2 linked regions of the Drosophila melanogaster genome follow. The protein of the gene in region 1 purifies or fractionates together with the protein of each later gene. This does not show direct contact. Each region holds a gene or a part of one and is shown in the gene's direction. Other genes may lie near its edges.

What was found.
Region 2: the proteins of Nxf3 (region 1) and Nxt1 purify together in Drosophila melanogaster (affinity purification with western blotting; 2 studies listed by BioGRID, with this or other methods). This does not show direct contact.

Annotation. Positions count from the first base shown.
Region 1 is NT_037436.4:13,963,565-13,970,782, forward strand, and holds the start of Nxf3 (nuclear export factor 3), read left to right. Parts: upstream 1-1,638; 5' UTR 1,639-1,781; coding exon of another isoform or gene 1,782-1,828; intron 1,829-1,959; coding exon of another isoform or gene 1,960-2,066; 5' UTR 2,067-3,083; coding exon 3,084-4,931; 3' UTR 4,932-5,082; coding exon of another isoform or gene 5,083-5,138; intron 5,139-5,196; coding exon of another isoform or gene 5,197-7,218. Other genes in the region: Meics (meiotic central spindle), read right to left, coding at 1-449, 555-1,065; ssp2 (short spindle 2), read left to right, coding at 1,782-1,828, 1,960-2,066, 5,083-5,138, 5,197-7,218.
Region 2 is NT_033778.4:23,810,513-23,813,664, reverse strand, and holds Nxt1 (NTF2-related export protein 1), read left to right. Parts: upstream 1-1,690; 5' UTR 1,691-1,717; coding exon 1,718-1,726; intron 1,727-1,783; coding exon 1,784-1,870; intron 1,871-1,927; coding exon of another isoform or gene 1,928-1,940; coding exon 1,941-2,246; 3' UTR 2,247-2,338; downstream 2,339-3,152. Other genes in the region: pippin, read left to right, coding at 160-1,239; CG5543 (uncharacterized protein), read right to left, coding at 2,339-3,152.

The DNA of each region.
Region 1 (7,218 bases):
GTGCATATGCGACTTCAGAGTCGGACCGTGCGTATAAGCTTTCGGGCAGAGGGGGCATTTAAAAGGACGCTCTCCAGTATGACGGCGTCTATGGGTCGTTAGCTGGGCATTGGTACGAAATCCCCGACCGCAGAAATCGCAGAGGTGCGGCTTTTGTGTATCACCTTGCTCCTTGTGCTTGGCAACGTGCCTTGCCAACGCCTTTTGAGTCGAGTAACTCACTCCACACTCTGTGCACAGAAGCGATTGATTATTGCCGCCAACCGTTTGGCGCCCTCCGCCGCCGGGAATCCAGGGTTCATCTTGGTCTTCAGTCGAGCCCACTGTCCATTGGTCTGAATCCTCCCTTTCGCTATCAGTATTGTTATTATCATTTTCTTCATCAAAGGCATCTTCAAATGTCTCCTGAATGGATACTTCATCTTCCGTTTTAATATCGTTCATTGTTACTAAAAAATAAATTTAAATTTTAGCATATAACGGGCAAGTCTAGAATAGATTTTAGCAGTACAATGGAAGTTCTTGTGAAAGTGGATGACATCGAATAGACCTACTTTCAAAAACTTCTTGCAATGGTTCACTCTCCTGACCATTAGTTGCCTTTCCATCGGTTGGCTCATCGATATCAGTTTTTACATCAGGCCGATTAGCGTCCAATTTGGTTACATTTGTGTCCAATGGATCCTCGCAACCAACTATCTCGAAGGGTATTAATGGGTTCATAGTACCTCTTCTGCAATGGGATCTACTCAGATTTGAGTTTGATTTATCGAGCTGGAGGAGCTGGGAAAAGAACTGAAAACTCTGCTCACACTTGTGACGGAAGTGAAAGGCATTTTGAGCGGCCACCAGGCAGGTAGGACAGATCTTTTGTGGCATTTCATCCCGTTTCACGCGACAGATCTCCGGCAGAATTGAGTTCAACATTTCCCAAATGGGGGGATCAGAGATCTCCTTGGAGAAAAGGTCCACCAGTATGGATGAGTGTTCGGCGCAGGCTCGGCAGTTCTTTCCCATGCTGGCGTCCACTGATCTTTCCATTTTTCCCGATGATCTCCCAACCATAGAGGCCGGAATTTCAAAAGAATCAACAAATGTTGGGCACTTGCTCTCCTGCCAAGTAGTCAATGTGAACGTATTCGCACAGAGTTGTCAGCTGCATCCGATGATTACTCGATAGTCGATAAGGTTTCATATGCCATCTCCATTAACGTCGTGAGGTTAACTGTGACTGGGAACAAATCTGCGGCATTCAAAACAATGGTGTCGATAGGTAGGATTCCAATCATATTTAAATCAAAATGTATGTAAATCTATATTAAAGGCATTAACAATGAAAATAAGAATATTAGAGATAATTTTAATTTTAATAAATAATTTACAAATCAAGTAAAGTTACAAATCAGTCTGTATTATAAAAACGTTTAATTAACATATAATCTTTAACAAGCGTGCATGCAATGATTTAGGTATTAAAGGTTATCATTTTAATATTTATCTTCATATTTAAGTTGAAATTTGCTAACTTTGCCAACAGCTGCAATAATTACTTTCACTTTCGCTTTCACAGTCACAAGATTGACTCATCGGCTTAAAAATACCAGTGACTCGCCACGGAATCGCGGATATCGCTCATCTCTATCAGCTTTGAGCAAAATTAGTATCTTGTATTGGCCAAACAGACAAGCGAGCGAAGGCCTTTTTGTTGTCGTTTCTGGCAATGATTTAGGTCTTCATCAAGTGTTATTAAGCTAGGCATAAAGTTTTACCCATCGCTGGACATGGATATCCTGGACATCGATGAGGCACTAAAGGATGATTCATATATGTGAGTGAAACCACTCCTGTTGTTTTTGTTCCTGTTGTTGTTGCTGCTGCAGCTGCTGCTACTGCTGCTGGCACTTCACAGGCAGAGGCATCGATGCTATAAATACTCATATGCCTGGTACTCCTTGGCAGATTTCTGGCGGATAAGACCCACGACGATGTCTCCAACATATTGCAGCAGTGGAAGACGAACAATCAGCCGCCGTTGCAGCAATTGCACTTGCAGTACAACAACGAGGGTAAGCCTTTTCCACACATACCGATGCACCCGATCACAAACATACACACATGTGCAGCACATCATGCAGTTGCGCTTTCTAAATCAAATTTGGGTTAAACTGGCGGCTACGTTGACAAAGTTCAAGTCGCATGTGGGCAGCATTACTTGGCCAGTAGTTACCGTTGTCTTTCAAAGTGGCCGATTGCCATAATTGGCAACAGCGCCAATGTTATTGTTACGGTAATTAATCAAGTCTCAATACGCACACACACACACGCGTTCCCATTGCAAACAGCTGTGCGTGGTACGGCAATAATATTGAAGGAAAAAAACTGGCTATGCTAATATGGCAAGAATCTCGCATTATACGCAAACATTATTATATAAATCCAATTTACTTCCTGCCCAGCCAGCGAAAGTCAATCAAGCAATACGCAAATAAACTATTTGCGTACAATTAAATAAACAATTACCACCGAACTAAAGACGAGGATCAAAAATCGATTAGGCGATTTAATTTGAGTGAAATATTGTCATGCTGAGCTATTTTTAATGATTTTCCAAAGTGGAATGCCAGAATTCCAAATATTGCTAAAAATATAAGTTAAATAAAACTATTTACAACAAAGTTCATACTTAATAGTCATTCCTGTAAATGTATGCAATGGTTAAACTCAGCATAGATAAATATTTTAAATAGCTTAAATAATATATACAAAATATTCTTTTAAGCGATAACAATAGTAGAAGTGGAAGTAAGAAAATTACGTTAACAAACAACAATTACTTATAATTATATATGAAAGCTTCAGGGCGTTTATCCAGTAAGTTAAAAAATAGCTAAATGCTAACTTAACGGTAAAATATCAAATAGTGTGCTGAACACATCGCTTTTGCGAAGCGTCCTTTGGATCTTTACTAACACTAAAAAAATTGTAAACTCCCGGAGATTGCTAGTAGTGTGCACGGAATTTAATTACTGGGTTTATTTCCTCAAAAGATTTTGTAATTTTACTAGTTTCCTGAAAACTTTGCGATGCAAATATTTGCCACTTTCAAATCCCACGAGCCGGACAGCCGCTTGATCCAAAACTTCAAAAAGCACGTGAATTCGCAGTCGCCACTTGACGATTTGCGAAAAAATCTAAATGAAAAAAGTAAAATTCGAGAATATGTACAAGAGCTGATTGGAAATGAGCAACAAATGGGATCCGTGCTGGACACGATCTCTTCCACCGAAGAGGACCACCGCGTGGCCACTGTGACCGGATGGTCCACGGTGAACATCGCCAACTGCGCCGGCGTTTCCAATTCTTCAATTTTTGTGGCACTGAAGTGGGTGATGATGCCCATTAAGGTGGAGATATTCAACTTCAAGCGAAGTGGACCGGAAGATAATATGGCACGTGGACAATTTCTGTTGGACAACCTGTTAAGCGCAAATCGCCTAAAACGCTTGCAAGAGGAAGTAGCAGTTATTAACACGTGCCAGAAAATCGAGGTGCGTGTCACACCCGGTCTGCCCAAATCGATGATGTGTGCCCAGATAACAGACGAATTTACAACTGCCATTCAGGAGGCCCTTAGATCACGCTATGAGGTGGATTCACGCACCTTAGATCTCTCCAGGTTCCACGCCAGTCCGGAGTTGTCTCTGCACTTTTGTCCGCTGCATATGGTCAAGCTGCTAGAAACAGTGCTAGTTCTTTCAAACCATTTATTTCCCCATGTGACCAGCCTAGTACTGAGCAACAATTATTTGTGTTCCCTGAAAGCGTTTGCGGGAAATTCCCAAAGTTTTGCCAGCCTAGAGCGGTTGGACATAAGCGCAAACAGGATTCAAGATTTGGGAGAACTCAATTACATCAACAAACTGAGTTGCAAGACGATCTTCTTGGCAGGAAACGGTTTGGCCAAGCTAAGCGTGGACGTCATTCGAAAAATGCTACCACAGTTGAAAAATGTTCATGGCTGTGTGCAGTTGGGGGAAAGTACAGAAGCTGTTGATAATATTCCGAAGTCTCAACAACTTCAAGGCGGTGGGACTAATGGTTTAAAGTTTTGCCAGGACTTCATAAGTTCATACTACACTTTCTTTGACGATACCGAAGAGCGTTTCAAACTTAAGAAGTATTACGACGACCAAGCCATGTTCTCGCTTAGCGTGCCGGTACAACTAAATTATGTCTACGGCTACAAGCTGTACAACAGAAACCAGAAGCGCCAGCATTCCTCGTTTGCACAAAACGCCAAGCTGCAAGTGGGTAGAGCTGCGCTACTTCTCGCTTTAAGCCGCTTGCCTTTGATGCATACAGACTTAGAGAATGTCGGGCTAGACATCCAGGTGTTCACTTCGAGTCTACGCATCTTTACGTTGACGGGATACTTTAAGGAGATATCATCGGATACTCTGGAACCACGACGCTTTCAGCGCACATTCGTATTGCAGACTTCCAATAGCCCCGGCTGGTTGATAACCAACGACATGCTGTGCATAACTTCGACTATGCCGGACCCGAAAAAAACCATTAAATTTAAACCAGAAACTAATATGATAAATACCGACCCGTCGGTAGAAAAAATAAATAAACCTGCAGTGACAGTTTTAGACAGAAAGTCTAAAGAGGATGTCCAAATTTCTAGACCCCTATCAGGAAAAGAGCTGAATCCTCTTAATAAGGCAGTGCAGAAAATGAGCCTTTCCCAGGTGGACCATCTTCCCAGTGAGAACTTCAACGATATGCCACCATTAGTAGCCATTGGTCCATTGACTACCGGGCAAAATTGTTTGGACTATGAAATGGAGGATATTTTAGTGGCCGATGAGAATAACTTTGACTTGGACATTGATGATGACATCCTGTTTGGATGCGATGACCTTTAAATATGAACAAAAAAAATTAAACAATTCAAACAAATAGCTTTTAGAAACCTTGCACCTATCGGTTAAGACACCATACATTACTATTCATTACTTTAACGAGTGCAGAACTCAAGGATCTAATTTATTTTTAAACTTTTATATTTTACGAAAGCCTTCAAAAACAATTCGAAAACCTTTACTCGCCCAAAGCGTCGGAATCTGGATTTCGTAAGTACAAATAAGCAATTGCAACTAATTTGTATATTAAAGTATCTTATTTTTTCAGAGCCAAAATGGAGCGGGAAATGACAGCGGTGTTGGAACCGGGTCGGTCGCGGGTGCCCCAGCAATGCTTCAGCTGGAAATTGGCGGTCTTGTCACGACGAATATGCACAAATCCTTCCTGCAAGACACCTCACCGCCGTCTTCCATCTGCTCCTCCATGAACACTGAACGGATGAACAACTCGCTAATCACCTCAGCAGACTTTACGAACTTGAACTTCCTTCAATCCACAATTGGTCTTGAGCAGGATCCAAACCTTACCACTACGCTTACCAACCAGACAACTGATAACATGGGAATCGGCGGCAGCATAGGCGGATATACGCTCAGTGACATGATCCGGGATCGCAAGGCGCTGGAGTCGCTGACCATGTGTGAGGACGATGGGACTCTTATCAAAGACTCGCACATCGGGCAAATTGACGAAATATCGTTGACACTGAGCAAAACTGCTTCCGGCTGCAGCACAATGGACAACAGCACAGACAGTATGTCCATTCCCCTGGCCGCAGATCGAACGATGCCCGTTGTGGTATCGGCAGTTTGTCCTGCCCTACAGCGTACCATGATTTTAGGGGAGGAGATGATCGGCGACACAACTTTTAACCTCGTGGATAGCCTTACAACTTCTGCGCTGCAATCAGAGTCTGAGTCTCTGCCAGTCGATGGAAATGCGACATTCAAAAGACCCACTGCGAGTGCTACTACAGCGGACGAAACCCAGGTGCTAACAGGTAGGCAGATGAATACTACCTTCACCGACGGTTGCAACACTCCTGAGGGCCGCTGTGAAACGCCTGAAAATATTGACAGGAAGCTGGCCTTGCTCACCATGGAATCCTCCACACCACTTACAACAAACATGCGCTCACACTGCTACCACAATAACAACAATAATAACAAGGCAGGATATACCCCTACCCTAAAGGGAAGGGGAGATATGAACCTGTCCCCAATTGTTGGCGCAACACCGCAAAAACCAACTGGAACCGCACCAGGGCGATTAAACAACACCTTTGAGCCCGTGGCAAAAACAGCTCCGTTCAACGGCGAGAAGTTCGTGCTGGACACTATGGAGCTCTTGGAGCAGATCGAACAGCCGCTGGATGGCACTTACAACCTGCAAATGTCTGAACAGCACAGGCAGATGCAATGCGTCATGGACTTGGCTGAGGCGGAAGTGGAGATGCTGGCCCAGCAGGGCGACGAAGAGCAATTCGAGAATATGCTTGCCGAGCTGGGCAAGGTGAATACCCTAAACGAGGAGCAACTGAAGATGCAAAAGTCGCTAGATACCATCAAACGGCGCTTCCATAGAGATGAGGCGGAGGCAGAGGAGCGTGAAGAGGAATTGCAGCAGTCGGCAGCCGAAAAGGTGGACACCCCAGTTCTAAATCAGAGCCACTCCAGCAGCAACAGCAGCGGCGGTGGTGGCGAACGGCTGCTCAGTCGCCGAAGTCGTCTCTACGACGATGTCAACCTTAGTGCAATGCACGGCAGTAATGGAAGTTCGACCAGCACCAACTCTGCCTCATTCATCGTCCAGCGTAGAGATATGCCACAAGTGGAGCAGCCTGCACCAGATCCTGATCCCGAACCAGCGGAAGAGCCTCCAAAGTCCCAGGTGACAGCAGAGATTGATCCGGCAAGCTATAAGCTGCCGGAGCGAAGAGAGCGGGATCGCGATCGCTTCAAGACCATTAAGATTTCGAAAGAAATGCGACTGCAGCCGGAAATTATTGTGCCTTGTATAGACGATGAACCACAGCAACTCGAGGACGAGCAAAAGCAATTAGTAGAAGATGTTCGGTACGAGGAGGATCAGCGACAGGGTTCACCACCGGGTCGACTTTCTCGTCGAGATCAGACCACAGCAATTAGCAACAACGCAGATGCTAGTGCGAGTAACTATCTGACCTACAAAAAACCCAAGGAAAAGAGCCTTATCCAACGACGTCCGCAGCAGCAGGAAGCGCCTTTATTAGCCGAGCCAGCGCCTGCGTCGACTCTTCCCCAGCCGCGT
Region 2 (3,152 bases), on another chromosome or scaffold:
GCTGGGTTCAAGGTGGTCATGTATCAGAAAGTAATAGTAATAGTATCATTTATATAATTGATGGTCAACGTGGATAAGCTGGATTAGGATTAATGTAGACTTACTATATAAACTTACTATTTTGGCCTTCATTCATTATTTTATTTTACCTTCTCGAAGGTGTACATTGCGGAAACGGCGGAACCCAATCTGCGGAGTCTGCTGATCGGCGCGCCCTATGTGGCCTACTCAAGCGGCATCCTAATGGTCTACTCCCTGGGCTCCATGATGTACTGGCGTAGTGTTGCGTGGTGCGCCAACGTGCTGCCCCTGCTGTCCATGGTGTCTATCTCGTTTATACCGGAGACTCCGGCCTGGCTACTCCGCAATGGCCACGAGAAGCGTGCGCTGCAGGCCCTCTCGTTCCTGCGGGGCAGCGAGATCAGTGCGCAGAAGGAGCTGAATGATATGAAGCAGAGGCTGGCCAAGGAGCGGGTGACCACCAAGACGAACGAGAACATCTTCCAGCTGTGCTGCCAGCGCGTGGCCATCAAGCCGCTGGTCATTGTGATCGTGTTCTCGCTGCTGCAGATGTTCTCCGGCACGTTCATCGTGATCTTCTATGCCGTGGACATGATCTCGGAGTTCGGAGCGGAGTTCGACTCCAAGCAGGCGGCCATTGCGACGGCAGTTGTCCGGGTGATCTGCTGCATGGTCTTCTGCGTAGTCCTGATCTTCGTTCGCCGCCGCAGGATCATGATAGTGTCGGGAATCGGCTCCGGCTTGTTCTGCCTGGTGCTCAGTGTCTATCAGTATGCCAGATTCGATCAACCGAAAATGTCGTACGACGTATTCGTTGGTGCCGGCTGTCTCTTGGGCTACATCATCTTCAACACGGCTCTGATGGTGATGCCCGGCATTATGATCGGCGAGCTCTTCCCGGCTAGGATACGCGGACGGACTGCCGGCGGAGTGTTTGCCTCCATGAACGTCGCTCTGTTCATCTTCGCGAAGAAGTTTCCCGCTTTGCAGGCCATGCTCAAGATGCGCGGCGTGTTCCTGGTCTTCGGCGTGTCCAGTTTCCTGCTCACTGCCTTTATGTGCCTTTTCCAGCCGGAGACGAAGGGCCGCAGCCTGGAGCACATCGAGGACTATTTCAACGGGGACAACTGGCTCTGGTTCCGGCGGGATCGAGGCTACAAGACGGTCAACCTGCAGCCCCTGGAGCCATTGAAGGACACCCGGGGGCTGGAGGCCTAGGTCGGGGGGCTTTAGTCTTAAAACAGGTCTTAGCTTAGCTAGTTTTAGCCATACTCATAGTTCTAGCCGCAGTGCCTCGTAGTCGCCCTAGACTCGCTCGATTTTCCAGTGACCCCCAATGGGCCACTCCGACAGGGAATCTTCAAATGTTAGGTTACCAATTCAAATTGTGATCGCTATGCTTTAAATTGTGTCTAATTGTTAATTAAAATTATGATTAGAAATAAACAACTTGAAAAATAAAAGTCATCATTTGTTTTTCGGGCAATTTGCAGAAAATGTTTGCAATAAACTTGTTTTTAAGTGTTTGAACATCTTGACTTTTTTAAACTTTAAATAAATATTAAGGGTACTCACGTAGATTAGTAGCGTTTTTGTATTTCAAATGGTGGTAGTAATATTTTTGTTTCTTTCTTTCTGGAGAGTTTTTTTCTGACCACCCGAGGACGGTCACTCTAATTCGAGAATCGCGGGAAACATGGACAGCGTGAGTTGAAAATATTTAGTTTTTTAGCAATTTAGCATAGCAACTATTTGTTTAAAGGATTTGAAAGCCAAGGTCGAGAGCTGCGCCCGTACGGCGGATACCTTCACACGCCTGTACTACGCCTCCGTGGACAACCGACGCCAAGTAAGTAGAGATCCGCCTTGAAAGTCTGCATTTCATGGGAAAACGAAACTCAAATAGATTCCACCTGCAGCAAATTGGACGCCTCTATTTGGACAATGCTACGCTTAGCTGGAATGGAAACGGGGCCATCGGCCGCCAGATGATCGAGAGCTACTTTCAGGAGCTGCCATCCTCAAACCACCAGTTGAACACCCTGGACGCGCAGCCTATTGTGGATCAGGCTGTGTCCAACCAGCTGGCCTACCTCATCATGGCCAGCGGCTCCGTCAAGTTCGCAGATCAGCAGTTACGCAAATTTCAGCAGACTTTCATCGTTACCGCCGAGAATGATAAATGGAAGGTCGTCTCCGATTGCTACCGAATGCAGGAGGTCTGAGATCCACACACTTGTATTTTAAGCTAAGCTAAAGTTCTTACGTCGTAACGAGTTTATTAACATATCTAAGCTCTTATAAATAGATTGACTTCCTATTTGTCCGCCTCTGTCTTGGGCTTCTTGGTGGCCGGCTCGTCGGCGGGTAGTTTTTCGGAGAAGATGGCCTTTGGCTGCGTCTGCTTGTAGGCCGGTGCTATCCAGTAAGGATTCTCGGCTGCGTCCTTGGCATACTTCAAGATGGCTTCCCTGGGATCCTGGTCGTCGTCCACCCGCTTGCTCAGGCCCAGATTGCGGATGACATAGGAGGAGAGGGTGCCGCCGGAGCTGGCCACGCGGCCGCCCTGACCGCTGGTGATGGGCAAGTCCGGTCGCTGGGACTTGACAGGATCCATACGGGCCTTCTCCATCCGCTTACGCGAGGTACGGGACTTTTCCTGCCTGAACAATGGCAGGGCGTGCGGCGTAATGATCTGGGAGACTCCCACCATCTCCATGGGCTGCCTCTTGCGATGCGTCTTCACTACGCACAGCTTGGCGCCCCGGATGCTGCGGTGCTCATCGTAATAGCACTTAATGGTTCCATTGCCACAGCTCACGAACAGTTGGTTGAGCTTTGGGTGCCACAGCGTTTTCACCACGTGCGCGTTGGACACGGGAATCCGCTGCACTTCCTCGTAGCTCTTAGTGCTGTAGAAATACAGGTTCGCTTCGGCCTGGCCCTTCGGAAGCGATTCTCCGGTGACTAGCAGACGGTCATCTGGACTAAAGCAGCAATCTGTTGTGTCGTAGCGGGAGAACAGGTTTGTCCAGGTATGCAGCGGCTGTTTGAACTGCCGCAGATCCCAAAGCTTCATGGTCTCGTCGTTGCTGCGAGTGGCCAACTGCTGACCCATGTACGAGAACACA